Drosophila melanogaster: one gene and its partners. Changing the gene in region 4 together with the main gene of any one other region gives a genetic interaction. Each region holds a gene or a part of one and is shown on either strand. Other genes may lie near its edges.

Region 1 (3,993 bases), on a different chromosome or scaffold from region 4:
CGAGCACACAACCGAACGCTTGCGTCGTCGGCGGCGGAATGAAGAAAACTGAATTATTTTCCACGAGCTGTTTTTGCGAAAAATCGCTCGCTCACTTGATGAGGGGCGCCTAATCGGAGAAGCAGAGCAACTGTTCTCTGCGGTAAACAAAAATTCACCTAGGCAACGCTCAGACAAGCGATGCGTCAAGGGTTTCCCATCAGCCAGGCTGATGATGCAGCTGCTCCAGGTCCAGTTCCTCGCGCAATCACATGATCCCGGGCGGGATTTTGTGTTCAAATTGAATGCTCTTCTAATTGATCAATTCCCAGAATTAGAAACTGAAGCATTCGGCGGTCCACTGCGCAATACCATCAATTGGTGGTTAGTCGGTGGCGATGACTTCCACCGCCTGCAAGTGGCCATATCCGCCGCAGCCACCAAAGCGAACTGTTCCAGTGCTCAATAGCCTGACCCCAACTTGACTCATCCGGCGAATTGTTCGCCGCTCCTGGCGCCGGCGCTTCCTCTTTTCATATTGCGATCAAAGGCCCGTCGAGTGGTTTCGGGTATATGTATGTGTTTGTATATTTTGACTGGACTCCGGCGAGGAGCAAAGGCCACGTGCATTGTGTTAGATGAGATGTATAAATGTAAAACTTACTCGTTAGTGGAAGATTCAATTCGATTAATTTAAATAACTACTAGCTAACCAATGGACACCATCACATTTTCAGAGGAGCAGCGTCGAGCGACATGGGCAGCACAGGTTCCGGCTGGTCGATGATCAGCTTCAGATTCTTGTCGGGCCACTCGAGCTCCAGTCGCTCCTTGGGCTCGCATTTCTCGTCTAGGCCCGCGCTGCGGAAGTCTTCCATCAGGCGCGGCACCAGTTCATCGGGAATCAGGACCTGAATCCAGTAGCCCAGCACGCCGTACGGTTCGTTCACTGTCACCGCCGAGCCGGTGACGGATTCCGCCACCAAAGTGAGCGCCAGATGCTGAGCCTTGAAGGTGAAGTGGCGCCCATGTCGGATGCGATCCTTGATGGCCAGTAGGAGGTACTTGGCCACACCAGGTGCGAGGGTAATCTCAATACCGTCCAGTGAAATGCAGTTTGGTGCCTGCGCTTGAAAGTCCAGGGGACAGGACTTGTGCAGCGAATTGCTGCTCATCGACATGGATTGTGGAAAGCTTGGTTCCTCGCGTTTCATTTGCGTATCCGTCAGCTGCCGATTGTTTTCGTCGTTGGCGCACTTCTCGCTCAGCGCCTGGAAATCCACCTCCTCCTTCACCTCCTTGGTAGGTTTCAGCTCACGGAACGTAAAATCTGCATTAACGCCGGCCAGATCGGAACCCTGCTTCTCCAGATCGTCCTGTAGGTTTAGCAGCGTTTCGGGAAACAGTTCGAAGACGCTCATCTGGCGATCCATGTTAGTCACCAGCCAATCACCGCCAGTTTGCATATCTTGGCGAAGGAAGTTGAGCACACCGCGCCCGTTCCAACGCGATGCCTGCTCAAGTTCGTCGTCAAAGACGCCGACGATCTGGCAGAAGTCCACCGTGCCCGTGGGAGTGTCGATGCAGCCCAACTGCGGGTCCTGGGCGACGAGCAGGTTCTGTAGCTTGGAAGTGGTACTGCCATCCAGACTCTTGCGCCACGGGATGTTGTCTCCGAAGCACAACCCGTTGCCTGTTTGAAAACAATAGCGTCCGATGGCCTGCAACAGGTTCGCCGGCCAGGTGGGCGGTCTTTGGGGCTTTTCCGGGTTCTCAATCTGCTGCTTTAGCTCTATTTCTGTTTTGGCCAAGCGAAAGGTCAACTCGAACCCCATGCCAGACCGAGTGACGCCCTCCTCGCGCAAGTGGACTCGCTCGTCCCCGTGTAGGTCGCTGAGTCCGAAACTAATGTAGTGCCAGTGCGGCGGAACGTTCCTATCCACATCTCCGGGATAGTTGTACATGCTAATGTAGTCCAACGGATCCTGACCGCCCAGCCAGTACTTGAGCAGTGTGGTCACCTGCAGCGGGTTCGGCTGGTTGGGGTACACCTGCCCGAGGTGGTCTATGATGGCCTTAAGGCCCGGCGGAGGCTTCACCTCAGGTTTTTTGTCCAAATTCGCCTCGGCCATTTCATCCAGTTTGATCAGTATGACCTCAGTTGGAACGTTGCGGAATACCACCGCTTGAATATACCATGAATAAAAATACTGCCATGTAAAGTGCGGATTTGACAATGGAAACTTACATGAGTTTCTTTTAAAACCATTATTTATTTTTAAAACCTTTTTTATAATAATTATTACTTTCTTACTTTTTTCTGCTTATTTTTAAAATGTAGAGAAAAACAGTGAAAATATATATCCATATAGCTTTAAACCACCACCATGTAAAATATTGAGTATTTCTTGCCGTGGTATATTTTTACATGCTGTTTATTTCTGCCAACCACCTACGGTCACCCTGTTGACCAACTATTTAATAGAAAATTTGCAAATTTTGATAAACGCACAAAATGGAGCCTTATGATGTCGTCGTCAACCAGCCCGTCGTCATAGATAACGTAAGTGGAGATGGGGCTCATTAAATGCGGGTAGCTTTGTGCAAATCTAGGGTTCCCAAAGTTTTAGCCAGCAAACAGTGACATCACCTACCGCCCGTCCCTTTGTCAACGAGCTTTCAAGCCGTCTTCAAATGGCCAACATGACTAATCCCAGAGAGAATAGCTCCGCAAACGCCAGAGATGGTTCAATTCGGAAGTGAAGACAGCGAAAACGGGGAATTTGGTCTATAAAGCTTGCGTGGAATCCCTTTATCTGCCCAGCACACGCACACACGGATATCTGCGGGCGGTGGCTGCATCCCTGCTGTTGCGTCCCTGCATCTGGAAGCCTCTGTCGAAGTCCATTTGGTGCCCGTACTCCATTGGGTAAACCACGGGAATAGACTCCACATGGGAGGCAGCGGGTCGCTTTAAGCGCTCCAGTTCGGGATCTATCTTCACACCACACTTGCCCCTGTATGTGCTGAACATCTTGGGGCGCAGCAGCTTGTTGTAGGGATCGCGGAATTGATCTCGGTACTTCTGGCACTCCAAATAGAAGGAGTCCACCTTGTACAAGCTGCCGTAGCTGATGTTGGTCAGTCCAACTGGCGGTGCGAACTTTAGTAGCGATTCCCGTTCGTATTGCGAATTCTTTGACACGGTCATCATGTCCACTTCCGGCACACTAAAGGATTCCATGTTGACTATATAGATTTCCTGTTTGCACGTTGAATTTTAAATAAAATAAGCTGACGCAACTAACTAAATGTATTCCACATCACTTTTGACAGGGCTCCGGTGTGATCAAAGCCGGCTTTGCTGGTGAGCACATTCCAAAATGCAGGTTTCCCAATTAGTAAGTGCCGTGGACCACTCACGAACCTTAAGAACCCCTAGAACTAATGCCTTCTCCTGCAGCATTGGCCGGCCCAAGCATGTCCGAGTGATGGCTGGTGCGCTGGAGGGCGACATATTCGTTGGACCCAAGGCGGAGGAGCACCGTGGCCTGCTTAGCATCCGGTACCCCATGGAGCACGGCATTGTCACCGACTGGAATGACATGGAGCGGATATGGAGCTACATTTACAGCAAAGTAATTTGTCCATAAATGTTCCATAATCTTAACTAAATGTTTTAAATGGCATTGACCAGGAACAACTGGCCACCTTCACGGAGGATCATCCCGTGCTGCTGACCGAGGCCCCGCTTAATCCGCGCCGAAACCGCGAAAAGGCAGCCGAGTTCTTCTTTGAAGGCATCAATGCACCTGCGCTCTTTGTGTCCATGCAGGCGGTGCTCAGTCTGTAAGCATTGCAATCTCACGAACTGCCCCTATCGATTTCATTTAACCACACTCTTGCAGCTACGCCACCGGTCGTGTGACTGGCGTAGTGCTCGACTCCGGCGACGGTGTGACGCATGCGGTTCCTATCTACGAGGGATTCGCCATGCCTCACAGTATTATGCGC
Region 2 (4,267 bases), on a different chromosome or scaffold from region 4:
ATACACAATGATTATACAATTGCAAATGCAACTTAACACTCAACATAAGGATAGTGAAAATGTGTGACAAATGATTAAATTACGAAATCCTTTTGAAGAGAAAACAAATGAAAATAAAATGTGAAATTTAAAATAAAATTAACATGGAATTTCTTTTTATTGATTCTCTTTTTGGCTTTCGGGGATTTCAGGTTTTGGAAAAAGGATTTTAAACAACGATTTTATTTTAAATTTCATCTTTTCCACTCGACGTTTTAAACAAACGTTGCCAGTGATGCCAGATGGTTTTTGAAATGTAACACACGATCTATACACGCCAGGTGGCGTGTTGCCCTCTGGAAGTTTCCACATGTGGAGACTTTTGAATTGTTTGGCGCGCTAGTTATATATATTTAAAAATAGAAGAAATTGCCAGCAATACATGTTGTTTTGGTTTTAGCCACCACATTTTGATTGCCACCACGTGAAATCTAGCAATTTCTATAATGCTTGCAACCCACTGACCCAGAAACGACACTTGATGTGTGTATAAGTAATTTTATTGTTTATAACATAATAGAATTGGTACTAAAACGTACTATGTCCTTACGGCGTATAAATCTATAAGTGTTCTACTAACTGATGTAACCTCCCCGTGTTGGAATGCCGAAAATGTGCTTTGCTTGAAAAATGGTTAGTTACTTTAAATTTATAATACCTCATTTATTTAATATTTTGTTTTGGGATTATTATGTATAAGATGTTGAGGCACCGATTCATGTGGCGGTAAACAAAACAACTTATGGAATTTGTGTAATGCTAAATAGCTAATAATCGATCAGTCTCCAACACGAAACGGGCTACACGGGCTGCTTTATGTGTGTGTGTGTGTGTGTGTTGTTCTCTTTCCTAATCCTATCCAGCGCTTGCATCCTCGGCCAATATCTACAGCTCTTCGCTTGGCACACTCACTAGCTTAGGGCTACAATTGGTTAGGCTAAGTTGTCTTACGAGTACGTACGGTAAATTAAATATAGGCCTTAACTAAAGTGATAACAATTATATGCGTGTGTGTGTGTGTGTGTGTGGCTGGCACAGCTCTAGCCTAGTTGGGCAGCAGCTCGGACAGCTGATTCTGCAGACTGGGTGCCAGTGTGTCGGGAAACTTAATGTCGAAGGAGACGATCAGATCGCCGCGCCTCGATGGCTCCTTGGGCACCGGCAGACCCAGTCCGTTGATCCGGCGCGTTGTGGTGGGCTTGATGATCTCGTGGTTCGGATTCACCTGTATCCTGCTGCCCTGCAGCGTGGGCACACTAACCAGTGCTCCGCACAAGGCCTGCTTCAGACTGATCTGGGCTGTATACTTTAGATCGATTCCCTCGCGTTTGAACAGCGAATGCGGTTTGTCGCGAATGATGAAGACGATGTCAGCTGGCGTCTTGTTTGGCGCCGAATCACCCTCTTGGGGGAAGGTAATCTTGGTACCGGCCTTCCAGCCCGGCTTCACTGTGATCCTCAGCACCTTCTCCTCCTTGTACGGCCCATTGCTTCCGGTGGCCATGCGTGAGATTTTCATCTTCTTGATGCATCCCTTGTCCACTTCCTCCAGCGACACGAACAGATCATGCTCGATGGGCGGATCCTGCTGGCGCTTGCGACTGGGTGCCTGGGCATTAAAGGCAAACATATCGTCGCCGCCAATGTTCCAGAAGATCTCGTTGGTATTGCCGCCCTGACCGCCACTAAACATGTTATCGCCGCCGGTAAAGAACGCGCCAAACGGATCCGACGATCCAAAGAACTGGGCAAATGTGGCCCTCGGATCGCCGTGGAACTGGTAAGTGTACGCTCCCGGCTGACCGCCGCCATCTGGTCCCGGCTGTCCGCCCTTCAATCCATCCTCACCGTAATTGTCGAAGATGTCGCGCTTCTTTTTGTCCGACAGCACCTCGTACGCCTCGGCGATCTCCTTGAAGCGCTCCTCCGCCTGTGGGCTCTTGTTCTTGTCGGGATGGTATTTGAGTGCCAGTTTGCGGTAGGCCTTCTTGATCTCATCGTCGCTGGCCTTGCGCTCGAGGCCCAGAATCTTGTAGAAGTCTTTGCCCATCTCTCAGCTGAAAATATAGGGGAAACACAAACGAACGAACGCTATAGATTAGAATGAATACTGATTGCCAGCTTGCTGGGTTGGGGCGATGGAAAGTGCTAGAAGCACAGAACAGCACAGTTGTGCAACTGCCGTGTTGTCACGCGAGTGACGTATGTAGTCACCATCAACGAGAGCTCCGCTCCCGATGTGCTTCTTTCAGCAGATCAAATCGATGCGCCCACATGTGGCAATATGTCCAACGAAGCTTACCTTAAATGTAAGCGATTGTCTGGGAATCCGTAAAAGTTCAAAAATCCAAGTGGAAAAGTGCAAAATGCAATGGCAAAGTGCAATTGTTGGTATTGTTCACTGTGTATTCACACTATTTATATTTTCACGGGGCAATGTTCTTTAAATATTTATGAGTTTTGTCTCTTTCTCGCAATTGATTCAATTCAATTGTTCTTCTTCGCTTTTTTCTTTATCCACCAAATGTGGCTTGCGCACTAAAAACACACCCTACTTCAGAGTTTCTTTCTCTTCAAAATTTTGTTTAATAATGAGCGGGATTCGTGCGTCAACCTCATTTTATAGGTTCGCCCTCGTCTACGTCGAAATTTCTGGATGCTTCTCGGATTTTAGGGTTGTATCTCGAAAACGTTTGACTGCGAATGTCAATATCGATATGCTAACCGATAGCTGTCGATGTTTTAAACACAGTGCACTGTTTTTAAATCGCTCCCCATTTATATATATTTGTGCATGCTTTTGGCGGTGACTCTTCTTTATATGCTTCTTATGCTTTTACGATTATTATTAGCGCTTATTTGATTGCAAATGCCAAGGAAAGCGTGACTGTGATGGCGAAATGCGGAAAGTACTCCTTAAATCTCATATATCGCATAAAACTATCGGTTCTGGAATGTTTCGTGTAAGTCTGCGAAGATAGAGATCGATCTATTTTGAGGATACATTTGTTAATATTATAAGGGATTCTTCTACAGGGGTCAGATTGCTTAAAAACACACAGAAAAATAAACAAAATATTTCTTTGAAATATTGAAATATTTGAAATAGAAAAAACGTATTGACGAGGTAAGCATATTGTAAAAAGATAGGAAGGTGATGGAGAAAGTTGCACTTATATTGTTCAACCAAAGAGCTTATAATCAAAAGATCAATAGATATAAATATCTTTATATGATATAAAATATAATACATATAATATATTATAATATACAATGTATAAATTGCAAGTGTCAAATTGAATTCTTAGTGTAATATTCAAGCCAACGAAAAGTAACTGAAAGTTGAAATAAATAAATTTTTAAACTTTGCCAGTGTGACCGTAAGACCAAGACTTGGGCATTGCCACAGCTGCAATGCGTTTAGTATTTTACAGTCAGCGGCGGGCAGTCACACCGGAACGAGCACGTCTGGTAAAACAGCCGAACGGAACAACAAAAAACAATTGTAAAAATGACCCGTCGAGGCTCGTTTTAAGCGAATTTCTAGCGCAGTCAGGACGCAGGAGCAGCCGAGCAGGCCGGGATTAGGACCGGAGGAGCAGGATCATCGGGAGAGTAGAGCCGAAACCCACACTCACACACAAACGCAGCCGTATACCGCAGTATTTTCATACACACACACACACTTGAGGTGAGTGAGACGGAGGTACACACACATGCACACATACAGAGAGAAGAAAACAAGGCGCCCCACGAATTTTTGCAAAATATGGACGCGCCTTGCTAGGGACTAATTGCCAGCGCGAAGGACAACCATTGGGGCCACTTTTTGGGCCAAACTCCGGCCGACATATGCGTGTCACGTTCCACAGTCGAAGCCTTGACCGATCGCCCCGCCCACCGTTCACCGCCCCATCGCTGGAAGTATTGCGCAAACGAATGTGACCCTTAACCCTTGCCCCCCCCCCCCCTTCCACAAAGAATATCCTTTGGCATGGCGCCTGTTCAAAGGATGTCCCACTGCAGCAATGCAGCATTGTAGCAGCGACGGCAGACCCATAAAAATAGTCATTCATTCCCGCAAATAGAGAGCTGGCACATCGAAGAGAGCATACGGTCGACATTAATAGCACTTTCGCTGTAAACCCAAACATATCGCCTATATTCATTGAGTAATCCGTCTGGGTTCTAGGGACCCAAAAGTTCCCCCCAGTGAAATACCCACCCA
Region 3 (4,911 bases), on a different chromosome or scaffold from region 4:
GGATTAGGCAGTGTTCCCTTTGTTTTCATTTTCATTTGCATTTTCGTTTGCTTACCTTCCAGAATCGTTGGCTTATCATTGGGCGCCGCTGTGGCGGTAGATGCATCGGCATTTCCAGTGGCGGCGCTATTTCCAGCAGCTGATTTGTTGTTGGCGGATCCTCCCCCTGTGGCAGCACCACTACCACCGCCGCCAACCCCTCGGCCGTCCATCTTCTTGGTGGAATTGCGCGTTCTCTTCCACTTCTCCAGCTTAACGGGATTTCAGACAGCGATTAACTTTAACGCGCACTTCGCGATCGCGGAAAAACTCGGAAAAACAAGAGATTCACTGCGTTGCGAAATTGTTTGTGTTTAAAACGGGTGGCTGCACTCACATAGGGGAAAAACGGCTGTGGAAATTTTAGTACGTTTTTTATCAACACCATGGACTAGTTGGGCTTCCGAACATGGTGTGTGCCCTCACTGTTCAGTGGTGGCGCAAACCATAGATGACCATAAAAATGAAATTCAAATGTACTGTGTATAAAATAATAGTTATGCATACAGTCTCGTTTTATTATACGGAATTAGCAATTAAGTAAATTTTAAATTTTAAGCTACACAGGCAGTACAGCATACTAATACAATATTAAAGGAAAAAACGCTTTTGAGGTAGTTTTGAAAGTATTTGAGAGCAATTGAAATGCTTAATTTTAATCACTTGATAGCACTTCTGAAATTAAATAGCATAGACATTTGATTTTCTCGCAATTTCTGCCCTCGCAGATAAGCTGACGTTCTTCTCACGCTATTATATTCCCAGCGATAAGAACTATTTCCCTTCGATGTGATAAGTCGGAGGTAAATTTAAAATAAACACTTTTTAAAATCATAAGAACTCTGCGTTGTTATTTTAATTCGATATCAGTATTTCGACCACAAACCAAGGCTGAACCACAAAATATGGCCCAATGATAGTCTCTTATCACGCCTTTCCTTCGCTAAAAAGAACACATGTCATTTGGAATCCTTGTTTTCTTTGCGCTAGCAACAACACACAGTTTTTAATTAACACTTTTTGCGATAATAGCAGATTTGATAAGCATGTTAAGTATCAGTTTTAAAGTAGATTCTCTGATTTTCATCTCTAATATCCAAAATGTATCTATATGAATACAATTTTCCATAAGTGCGTTTTAAATACATGTATGTTAAATTTTAAATAAAATAATAAAAAAAAAAACACAACTTATTTATTTTCTCATGAAAATCTAATCATATCCAGCTCCTAAATATTTTCGAAATTTCCCGGCTGAACAAGAGCGCCGCTCTTAAGTCGTCACGCTCTCAGCTGATTAAAGAGAGCGCGCTTAAATGCGATTCCAATTGGAAGTGGTTGCAGCCGGTGGTGGATGAAAATGTGTCCACCAATGGCGCGCCTCAAATGCCATGTCCACCTGACCAATCAGAATCCGGGGGCGGTGCCAAGTGCAAGGGAAACGCAGGAGCGAGCGAGAGGGAGAGCAACTGTTTATTTGATTAAGCATTTAAATTCTATTATTTTTAGCGAAATTTATTAAAAATTTGATGCAACAGCACTGCGTGGAATGGTGACTTGTCACAATGCACATACTAGGCCATGCATTTACAGAAGAGCAAGAGAGAGAGAGAGAGAGAGAGAGCGAGCAACTTAAGAGACCCAAAACGCCCCGGCCAAAGAGAGTCGTTCTCGTTCCAATTGGCTCGCGAGGCAAGTGGAAAAACGATTGGATTCGACTCAGAGCCGAGCTCAATCGTCTCGCGAAATTCAAGCGGCGCAGTCAAAAGTTAAAAGTCAGTTTCAGTTATGTTTTGGAGTACGACGCGCGAGCATTATTGTTTCCATTGTTAGCGAAGTTTTTAATCGACTGAAAGAAACACAAGAAAATAACACCTCGCTTACGTGTTAACCCTTTTTTTTTGTAACTTGTGCTTAAGTCACTTAAAGAAATACCGAAGAAAGTAAACTAAGTGTGTGTGTAAGTGTTAAACAAAGTAGTAAACAAAAAGCGCGCCAAAATCGGCTAACTTTTAGTTATTAACTCGAATTTCGTCACCAACTAAATTTAAACAAAAGAGCGACACAGTTTCGCCAGAAACTTGCATTCAAACATATTGTTAAACAGTTTTACATTAAACTAAACACAAACCAAAGTGCTATTAAGTGCAGTTAGTAACAAAATAAAAGTGATAAATGGTGACACAAACGAATTAAGGCAATGTTTTTATGACAAAAACTTAAGTTCATATTTTTTAAGGCTTTATTTTGCGACTGTGAAATAATTTGTTTACTTTGTTGCTTGTTCTCAAACAAATAATATACAATAGTAATTGTAAAAGCTTCTTATACATTGTTTGAATAAACAAATAACTGACTCTTTTACAACCATTTATGATTACTTGGGAGATCAGTTGTGAACATTAAATGTTTATATTGTACTATATTGTTTTTACACCGATTCCCAGAAATATCATCAAAGTTAAACTCGAGAAAAGGAGGCCCGTCTGCGAATCGGGAGTCAAACATAGAGTATTACTAATTAGCCGAGTGAAGTGCAAACAATAAAAATATCCAAATCAAACGAAATCAAATTTAATTAAGTTCAGAAATCATCTGGCAAAAGCATGCTCAAAAAAGAGAAAGAAAAAACAACAATAGCAACAAATGCACCGCTAATTCCTGTGACTAATTTATCAAAGTGCGAACTAGCAAAATGTCGATCGTCGTAGTACTCGCAGTTATTTAATATGTATTCAGAAAGGCAAACATATTTTTAATCATTTTTTAAATTTATATATATTGTTTTTTGCAATTATTTCTTTATTTAAACGTACGCCAGTGAACTGTTTCTATATGTACTTTAATTAAATTGCTTAATATGAAACAAATTTGAGATGTTGTCATGGATTGTTTTTAATGAATCGATCGGCATTTTAAGTTTTCAATTAAACACGAATCTTTCTCATATCGTAAGTGCAATTGCAAACAATTGTTAAGTACGCTTTTTTTTTTCTGTGAATTCGTTTAGAGATTAGAGTTTATTGATGAGTGAACAAAAGACACCGCCGGAGCGAAGTGTGATAAGCGCTTGACCTGCGACCCGCACACACTGCAAGAAAAAAAGGGGCAAGCGAGCGGATCAAAGGTCACCGCCGTCGACGAATGCATTTGCATCTCCTGGCGGCAGAGAAGACGCCTCCATCTCCATCTCCAAATCCAACTCCAACTCCATCAGCATCTCCATCTGGGCATACGGGCGCTGCTGGGGAGTCGCAATTGGACTTGGCATCGCAAACGGAATCGCAATTGCAGCTGGGCTTGCCATTGGCTTCCGGATACGGACTCGGACTCGGATTGGGACTGGGCTTGGGATTGGGACTGGGCCAGGAATTGGTGGCGGACCACAGCACCACTGTGGCGCCCGTCAGCGTTGCCGGTCCCGGCCGCCTGGGTCGCAGCATCAACGGCAGCGGCGGCAGCCACCACCATCACCACCTGCACCACCACTACTCACCGTACCACCACGCCCACCCCTACCACCCACCGCATCCGCACGCGCCCCACCACCACCACCACCACCACCCACCGTATCCGTATCCGCCGGCAGGACCACATCCGCCGGCCATGGTCACATCGTCATCCACATCGCCGACGGGCAACGGCTGGAGCAGCTCCACCGGCGACTTCAAGGGCATCACAGCGGTGGCGACGGCCACTGGCGGCGGCGTAGGTGGTGCCACCCAGGGCGCCACTGCATCCACGGGCGCCACAGCCGCTGAGGTTTTGGCCGTTTCGAGTAGTGCCAGTGTTGGCAGCAGCTCGCCCACAGGTGGCGCCAGCAATGGTACAGCCCATAGTGGGCATAGTGGACACACCGGCGGTCACAGCAGTAGTACCGCCAGCAACAACAACAACAACGGTGCCAGCAATAGCAATAGCAACAATAACAACGCCGTTCACCAGGATCTATTGTGGATGGAGCGATTGGTACAGAAGCGACAACAGGAACATCCCGGCGAATTGGGTGAGTTGTTGGTGGGATATTACCAATAACCTAGTAGTAACACAGTCTGCAAAAGGGTTAAGGATTAATAGCTACCTTAATGTCCTTCAAAATCAAAGTGAATATGAAGATATAGTCTAACTGGATTTGTAATTTCCCGTGAACAAAATTGATTGAACAGAGGGATTTAGCTTACTAACTGTAAATAGCAAATTCTTTGCTACCAGATTCCCAATATGATCTATGGTTCTTGATATAATATATCTTATGAATATAAGATTGATAGATAGATATATATATCAAGGCAAGCCTCTGCGGAGACAGCTCTTCCATTCACAAGGTATCAGCATCTTTAGCTCGTGTCGAGGGGATCTGGTGGATGCTTTGCAGGTCTGTTCGATAATCCGATCCCCGAAAGGTGGAGCGCACATTCTTGCCACATCCTTGCACAATGCACTTCTGGGGCTTCCACATCGTGGCAATCACGATCATCGGACGCAGCCTTATCGGATTCCATGGGTATGATGATCGTGATGATGATACCGATGGCGATGATGATGGTGATGCCAGTGAAGATGGGACTGGCATCGCCGTCGGAATATGCGTAAATTGATATCAATAATTGTTATTGATATCAACGCACGAGTCGTTCCCCTTTTTTATTTTGTTAATGCCACCTTTTTTTTTTTTTTCTTATTCCTTGCTGCCCGTTGAACTTTCCTCCCGATTTATCAATGATATCAATGACCCAGAGCGAAAGCTGCTAATGAAATCTCAGCTCATCGCACCGTCAGTCTTGAAATTAGCTGGGGAATCCGCAAACTGGTTATCCTATATGATTTTTTTTTTCACTTCTGAGTCCTTTCATAACTTGTGCTCAATGGATA
Region 4 (6,604 bases):
TCTGCACCGCATCCAGCTTGGAGTGCGCTCGTGTGGCTTCGATGGTCAACGTGCTGCCCCATTACTTTCCCACGCTACCCATCGCCTATGTGGATGCCTATGAGTTTGGTCGTTTCAATGCAGAATTCGGCATCGTTTCGCTGCCCACACTGATGCTATTCCACCAGGGCAGGCCGCTAATCAAATTCGAGCCCGGGTGGAAGGACACAAAGAGCAGCTTTGCCAGTTTCATAATGAGTCACACCAATATGAAGACTGTGAATCCGCAGGCCATTGATCCGATCATCCTCACTCGCGCAGAGATGGAGCCGCTGTCTAATAAACCCATTGTGCAGACGGATTACTATTTGGGCCTGGCTTGGGCCTTTATTCTCGTCTGCCTTGCCAACTTCCTGCGTAAGACGGCGCTCTGGAAGCAGCTGGTAGAGATGGTGCAGCGCATTTGGCGGGAATCCGAGGAGACGCAAATGGAGATGGTGGACTAGTTAGTTAATACGTTTAATTCTCTATAAGTCGCATAAGTAGAACACTGGATTTACTATTATAATGTAATTACCATTTAATTAAATTCACGTTAACATTTACTTAGGCCTTACGAATTACATGTATTTGGGGAATTGGTAATTGTTGTTTTCTATCGTTCGGAGCCTTCAAATCAATTGTGTTCATTTGCACGCTAACTGGCATCCATAATTTAAAGCTTAGTGGCTAACAAAATCTAAAAACTTGAGAATTAATCAAATAATTCAAACTTATAATTACGATTTCATATATATTCCATTACTTTCATTGAATTTTTCGATTAGGTCTGAGAGTGTGTGTTGTAATGATTTCGGCGTTGAATAGTCACATTTGTTTTAAGTAAATTTAAGCAAGTTGTTCTGTATCCTGCGTGCACATCAATAGCATCTTGAAGTTGTACATTTTTTAGTGTTGCATTCTGGTCGACTCACGCAGGATAAGACAGAACTGGTAAAGAATTGTGTTTGTTAAAAAATATTTGAATTGGTTTTCCTGCTATGGAACAGAACCCAACGCTTTGCTTCCTAGTGTTTTTGAGTGTGCGATGCGGAAGATGTTGGCATACAGATGATCACGTTTCTACTACTTCTTCTTGCCGCGCTTGACCGCCTTGTAGGAGCTGGCCGCTTCGTCCTCCGTGTGAAAATGTTTTACGGCACGTTGTTGGCGCCTCGGATTGGCGGCATAGGGATGTGGATGTATGCTGCTGGCGGAGCAGAAACAAATGTTCATTAATTAACAGAAACGATTAATTAGAATAAGGCACAATACAAAACAAAAGGTATACATAATAATCATTCGTACACAGGCCAATTCGAACGCAAGTGAAAATTTATTAACAGGAAGAGAAGGTCAAAGGGAGCATTAATGGATGATGTGGGCAAGCGAGTGATGGATTCGTAGGATTCGCGCATTATGTCGTTCAGTGGTGGCGCAGCAACAGCAGCAGCAACATAGTTCAAATTTTGATTATCGTCGATGGCCAATTGGGCGTCGCGTAGTGTGGTGGTATATCGTCGAGTGTGGCTCTCGCAGATTGCGGTCTACATGCTATACGGATAGGCAGGCGATGCTCTTTCGGGCGGGTCAAAATGCGAGTATGCAGACAGAGAGTTAGATGTGTATGGGAAGGTGCGGCCTTACACGTAGCTTGCGGCCATAGTCTTGAGCTGCCGGCACGGCACGTAGATGTGGTGTTGCTGCTGTTCGAAGTTCGAAGTACTTGTGGCGATGAAGCGGAGCTGAGCTGAGCGGATCGTAGCGTTGGTGGCGCCTTCGGTTAGTAGAGTGCATGTAGTTACGTCGAAGACAGCCGAATGTCGAGTGTTTCTCGTTGTTGACTTTATTACTTATGATATTTATCTGGATTAGCATAGGTTTCATTTTATGTATTTGGTACTGTATCCGCTCTACTTGCGGTGGTACCGCGAATTATAAATACGCCAATCTCTGCATGATTTGGAAAGTACAAAATGTTGATGGAGAAGAGAAGAGAGAGCGATATGTCGTTAATACACTTGGGTAAATGGTATATTAGAAGATCAAGATCGTTGCTACCCATGAAGTCGAGTTCGAAAAGAATAAGCAGTATTGGTTTCAATAAATCATTAACGTTGTTGTTACAAAAGCGTTGTCAACCATTTGTCGGACCACAAAACCCCGGCATCAAACTTCGGCTGTCCGAAGACGTTTTTCGGTTAGGACTATACAAGCAGATAGAAATGAGGTTCGAAGCTGACATAGTCTATGTAACTAGGTTAATCCCGTATTGCCGGCTCCTGCCGATCCCAACTGAACAAACCTTGGAGAAGTGGACACCGTAGCCAGCGGCGAGGATGGGGGTGTCCTTAGTGGGCGGCGCGGCGTGGCCAGGCTATGCCCATGCCCATTTCGCAGGTACGAACGACGAGAGCTCACGTAGTTATTGTTGTTTCCGTTGCTTGTATCGTAGGTTGTTGGCGAGGATGTTGGTGTTGGTGCTGCTGCTGTTGCAATGTTGCCACTGCGTCGATGTCGTAGGTAGTTGTCGTAGTATGGAATCGAGTCGAAGAAAAGTTGAAAAAGATTACAACAATACTTTTGGGGGTCTGGGACTATGCTAGTTGGCGATCCAGTTCATTCAACGCGAAGCATTTGTACGTCGTGAGTGGGTGAGAGATCATGGCGAACGAAATAAGTCGTGGGCAAAACGAAAACTGAACAAACGAAAGATGTTGAGAGCTTAAGTTGCCGCCTACCTCTGTGCATTCTATGATTTCGATTCGATATTCGTTTCGTTTGAACGCAGTTGGGAATGTAATTAGCAGAAATTTATAGTATGCAATTCTGTTTCTGTTTTATCGGATAGTTAGTAAAATATACTGTATTGACTTTAGATTTAGTAATTATATCTGCAAGTAAATACAAACGTTTCAATTTAGCAACAGTTGTGTGAGGAGGAGGTGTGGTTAGTTGGGGGAATCTTCGGATCGGGCGGGCTTCAGCAAATGCTAGTCGGCTAATCCTACACAATCACGCGCACGGAACAGGGATTCGGGTGTAGATGTGACGTTAATCCCTTCTCACTCACCTGTTCTGCGGTGCCGTTGGCGCACTGGAATAATGGCGGCCCGCGGAGGAGCGAACCGGTTGCTGCTCCTGGATTACACAGTCATCATCATCGTCGTCGTCGTCCTCCACTGGCTCAATGGTCAACGTCGAGGTGTGTGCCGCTGGACGGGCGGGCATGATGGCCTGCATGCCACCAGCATGATGTCTTGACTGCACCGCTCCGCGACTAGCGCGCGATGTAAACTCCCTGTCAAACTGCTCGGCTTCTCCCTCCTCCAGATTAATGAACTCCTGGCGCTCCTCCAGTTGTCCTGAGCGCATGTCCTGCTCTTTCTCAATAATGTGTGCCCGCTCGCCGATGTGATGACCAATGGCCATCTTCTTCACCCCAGTGCGCGAGTCCTGCACCGTCCTGCGGGTCTCACGAACGCCTCCCGGTCCTGTTTTGGTACTAGTGCTGGCCTGGTAGATCTGAGGACGCCCATCGGGACCCGATGACATGGTCATCACGGTGCTCTGGCAGAAGGATGCGCCTGAATTGCCACCAATATCTGAAATACAATGGTTTTGTATGGTGCTCTTAACGGCGAAAGACCATTGAATACTCACCAGCGTTCAACAGGCGATTAAAGTTTGGCATCATGGGCATGCCGAAGAGGCCCATGGCTGGCATGGCCGGCATCTGCGGACGCTCCATGAGAGCGTTCTGCTGGAATCCCTGGTCAAAGGGCGAGACCTGCATGAAGGGATCGGGCATAAAGCTGTTCATCAGGCGATTCATCGAGCGCATCTGCATGTTCATCGCGTTCATAGTGTGGTTCATGTGGTTGCTGCAAACGAAAGATGAGTAACTTAGTGATACTTGACTGATGTGCGAGTTACTGGAGCTCCATTTGTGAACGGTTTGATTTGCTTTTACGTTTTTGTTTCATTTTAAACTGAGCCGAAATTAAGTTTTAAACAAAGCCAAACTAAATGACTTGTGGCCAAATATCGCAGTATAGTGATAAAGGCAGCGTAGCCTACGTATATACATAAAATAGGGTCTGATAGCCTGCCTTTACATGGGTCACTTTGCGGTTGGGCCTTATCAAAAGTCCCAGTGACAGGGCGAAACCTTTGAAATAACGCCTGCTAGTGCATTTTCCCCAATTCCATTTCCCTGCGGTCGCTCGATTCAAATTATCGATTATTACGTCTTCACTTCACGCATGCTGCGCACACACACACACGCACACTCCGATGGTTACTGTTAATTTTGGCACGCTATTTATTGCTAATTTTTGGGCACGTAAATATGTTTAATTGGCCTAATTGTGTGCCTATGGGCCAATTAATGATTTACACCTTGTTTTGCGATTATTTGGCTGTTTTTCCACGCCCCAAGAGGGCTTCGTTAGCTGCACACGTATGGAAATATATGGGGCTTCTGCGGGGCGAGCCGCATTTATTTAGTTTTTTTTTGCGCCATTTGGTACTTACTTCATAAGGCCGAGATCGTCGTCGAAATCACCCATCAACGCTCCGAATAAAGACATTTTTGTGGATTGTGTTGGCTTTCTGTTGCTCGAATTTTCTTCTTTCCGTATGCAGAATTTTCACGAATATTTTCTTTGTCAGTGTGGCTGAATCTTACTGGCTTAAATACCAGCGACGTCTACCACGAAAGTATATACTAGCTCTAAAAAATACCAGAAGCCGTTAATATTTAAAAACAAAATCTTCCTAATTATTTTAAATTTTTAAGATTTAAACAAATGTAATCTTACTCGAATACGTTAAACTATCTGCAAACGGTAAATTTCTAATATTGTGGATATTATTTGATTGCATCAAGTCAAATATAAATGTCACAAATAAATAATAATGATACTTCAAGCCACATTTACATATTTTATAATTTTAATTTCTGCATTGAGTTATTCTAAAATGATGCAATCAAACGATTTTGTAAAGTATAAAATTTATGGTTAGTTACATTGTACTTTTTCCCTTCCTCAAGATAAATTGCCTTCACCTATGCCAATTGGGTAATAATTTTATTTTTATATAAATCGTCGAGAATGGCTTATAGATTCCAATGTAATGGTCAGATAAAAAAGGTTTTTGATTAGGAAAACCAGTTGAAATGAAGAGTTAAACACCGTATATTAATTTGTAAATATATTATAAACCATGTTTTCTAAATGCTCATTTCATATTTATTATTGTGGTAAAATAATAATTTGTTCGATTTATTTGTTCGCGTTGTGCTTGTGAAGCTATCCACATTTTTAGAGATACGCCTCCGCCTGCTCTTCGATCCAATCGATATGGGAATTGACGCTGGTGTAGACACCCGGGAATCCTTCCCTGCCGCAACCCACGCCCCAGGACACCACACCCACCAGGACTCCGTCCACGGCCAAGGGTCCACCGGAATCGCCGTTGCAGGTGTCCTTGCCGCCCTCCAGATAGCCGGCGCAGAGCATCTCATCGGTCACCGTGTAGTCCTTGGTCAGATACTGGGCACCGCAGGTGCTCTTCTCGATGATCTGCAGCTCAACGGCGCGCAGCATGGCGGGCAGAGCTTCATCATCTTCAGCCCGCTTGCCCCAACCACTTACAACGGCCTGGGCACCCGACGGCGGTGCCTCCAGGGCCACAGCAATGGGTTGCACCAGGGCTGAGTACTCCAATGGCTCGCGAGTGATGATCAAACCGATATCATTCACATACGTTTTCTTATTGTAGCCGGCATGGGGGATCAGTTTGCTGACCTTAACACCCTGCTCCTCCAGATCGGCAATCGAGTTCTGACCAGCCACGATCCGGATGTACGAGGCATAGCGTCCCTTGATGCAGTGGGCGGCGGTGATGACGACCCGTGGTGCATAGATGCTACCACCGCAGATGTGGAGCAGCATGTAGGTCTCCAGGCGAACGGACACCTGGTACGGAAAGTCAGCGATGTCCGCCTGATCGCCACCAACAATGTGGGTGCTTATGGAGGCGGAATCCGTGAGAATTACCACACCAAGTGCAGCCAAAAGAAACAAACCCAAACGTAGCGACATGGTTAAACTTAAAGTGTGGTTCGATTTAGGTCTCTTATATAGGGCTGGAGTAGCCAGCTTATCACTTATCACCAAAATGGCGAATTTAGCGATCATCCATGATTGGTATTTTGGATTTTCATAAACTTCTGCTATGATATCGTAAAGTTTATACGACTTGCAGCTCAATTCGTTTTATATCCATTATAAACTGGGCGGTGGTCTTCTAAAGACCCAAATGGCCAGAAAGCCAACTGGCCAGAAAGTCAACTGACCAAAAAGTCAACTGGCCAGCTAAGGAGAACACAAATGGGGATTATCAGCAAAGCGATCCGTTGAGTCATCGATCGACTCTATTTCATTTGCCACTGAACTTTAATCGTCCCGAATGACGAAGGCGTCTAGTCGATGGCTGTAATCTCAATCTCCATGTGCTCCATGGAATCGTGTCTTCAGATAAGTGGTGTTGGAAAAGCAGGCTGAGATTTATTTACCAT

The links.
Region 1: of Mlf (region 4) and Su(fu), changing one enhances a phenotype caused by changing the other (phenotypic enhancement), as found in Drosophila melanogaster (one study listed by BioGRID).
Region 2: of Mlf (region 4) and DnaJ-1, changing one enhances a phenotype caused by changing the other (phenotypic enhancement), as found in Drosophila melanogaster (one study listed by BioGRID).
Region 3: of Mlf (region 4) and lz, changing one suppresses a phenotype caused by changing the other (phenotypic suppression), as found in Drosophila melanogaster (2 studies listed by BioGRID).

What each region holds. Positions count from the first base shown.
Region 1 is NT_033777.3:12,689,328-12,693,320, forward strand, and holds Su(fu) (suppressor of fused), read right to left. Parts: upstream 2,142-3,993; 5' UTR 2,112-2,141; coding exon 705-2,111; 3' UTR 546-704; downstream 1-545. Other genes in the region: Arp1 (Actin-related protein 1), read left to right, coding at 2,495-2,542, 3,316-3,380, 3,443-3,617, 3,677-3,828, 3,888-3,993; CG31347 (uncharacterized protein), read right to left, coding at 2,792-3,223.
Region 2 is NT_037436.4:5,749,505-5,753,771, forward strand, and holds DnaJ-1 (DnaJ-like-1), read right to left. Parts: upstream 2,686-4,267; 5' UTR 2,090-2,685; coding exon 1,085-2,089; 3' UTR 525-1,084; downstream 1-524.
Region 3 is NC_004354.4:9,282,738-9,287,648, forward strand, and holds the start of lz (lozenge), read left to right. Parts: upstream 1-1,911; 5' UTR 1,912-1,999; intron 2,000-3,049; 5' UTR 3,050-3,183; coding exon 3,184-4,045; intron 4,046-4,911. Other genes in the region: c11.1, read right to left, coding at 56-212. UniProt on the Drosophila melanogaster protein: Involved in prepatterning photoreceptor precursors in the developing eye; in the larval eye disk it defines a subset of cells as an equipotential group that is competent to respond to the sevenless developmental signal and another subset that confer proper photoreceptor identity by positively regulating the homeo box gene Bar.
Region 4 is NT_033778.4:15,935,356-15,941,959, forward strand, and holds Mlf (Myelodysplasia/myeloid leukemia factor), read right to left. Parts: upstream 4,719-6,604; 5' UTR 4,611-4,718; coding exon 4,555-4,610; intron 4,480-4,554; exon of another isoform or gene 4,420-4,479; intron 4,096-4,419; exon of another isoform or gene 4,005-4,095; coding exon of another isoform or gene 3,955-4,004; intron 3,903-3,954; coding exon 3,682-3,902; intron 3,624-3,681; coding exon 3,092-3,623; intron 2,913-3,091; coding exon of another isoform or gene 2,900-2,912; exon of another isoform or gene 2,760-2,899; intron 2,525-2,759; coding exon 2,324-2,524; intron 1,972-2,323; coding exon of another isoform or gene 1,932-1,971; exon of another isoform or gene 1,339-1,931; intron 1,229-1,338; coding exon of another isoform or gene 1,226-1,228; coding exon 1,105-1,225; 3' UTR 538-1,104; downstream 1-537. Other genes in the region: bug (bunker gear), read left to right, coding at 1-485; CG8299 (uncharacterized protein), read right to left, coding at 5,346-6,128.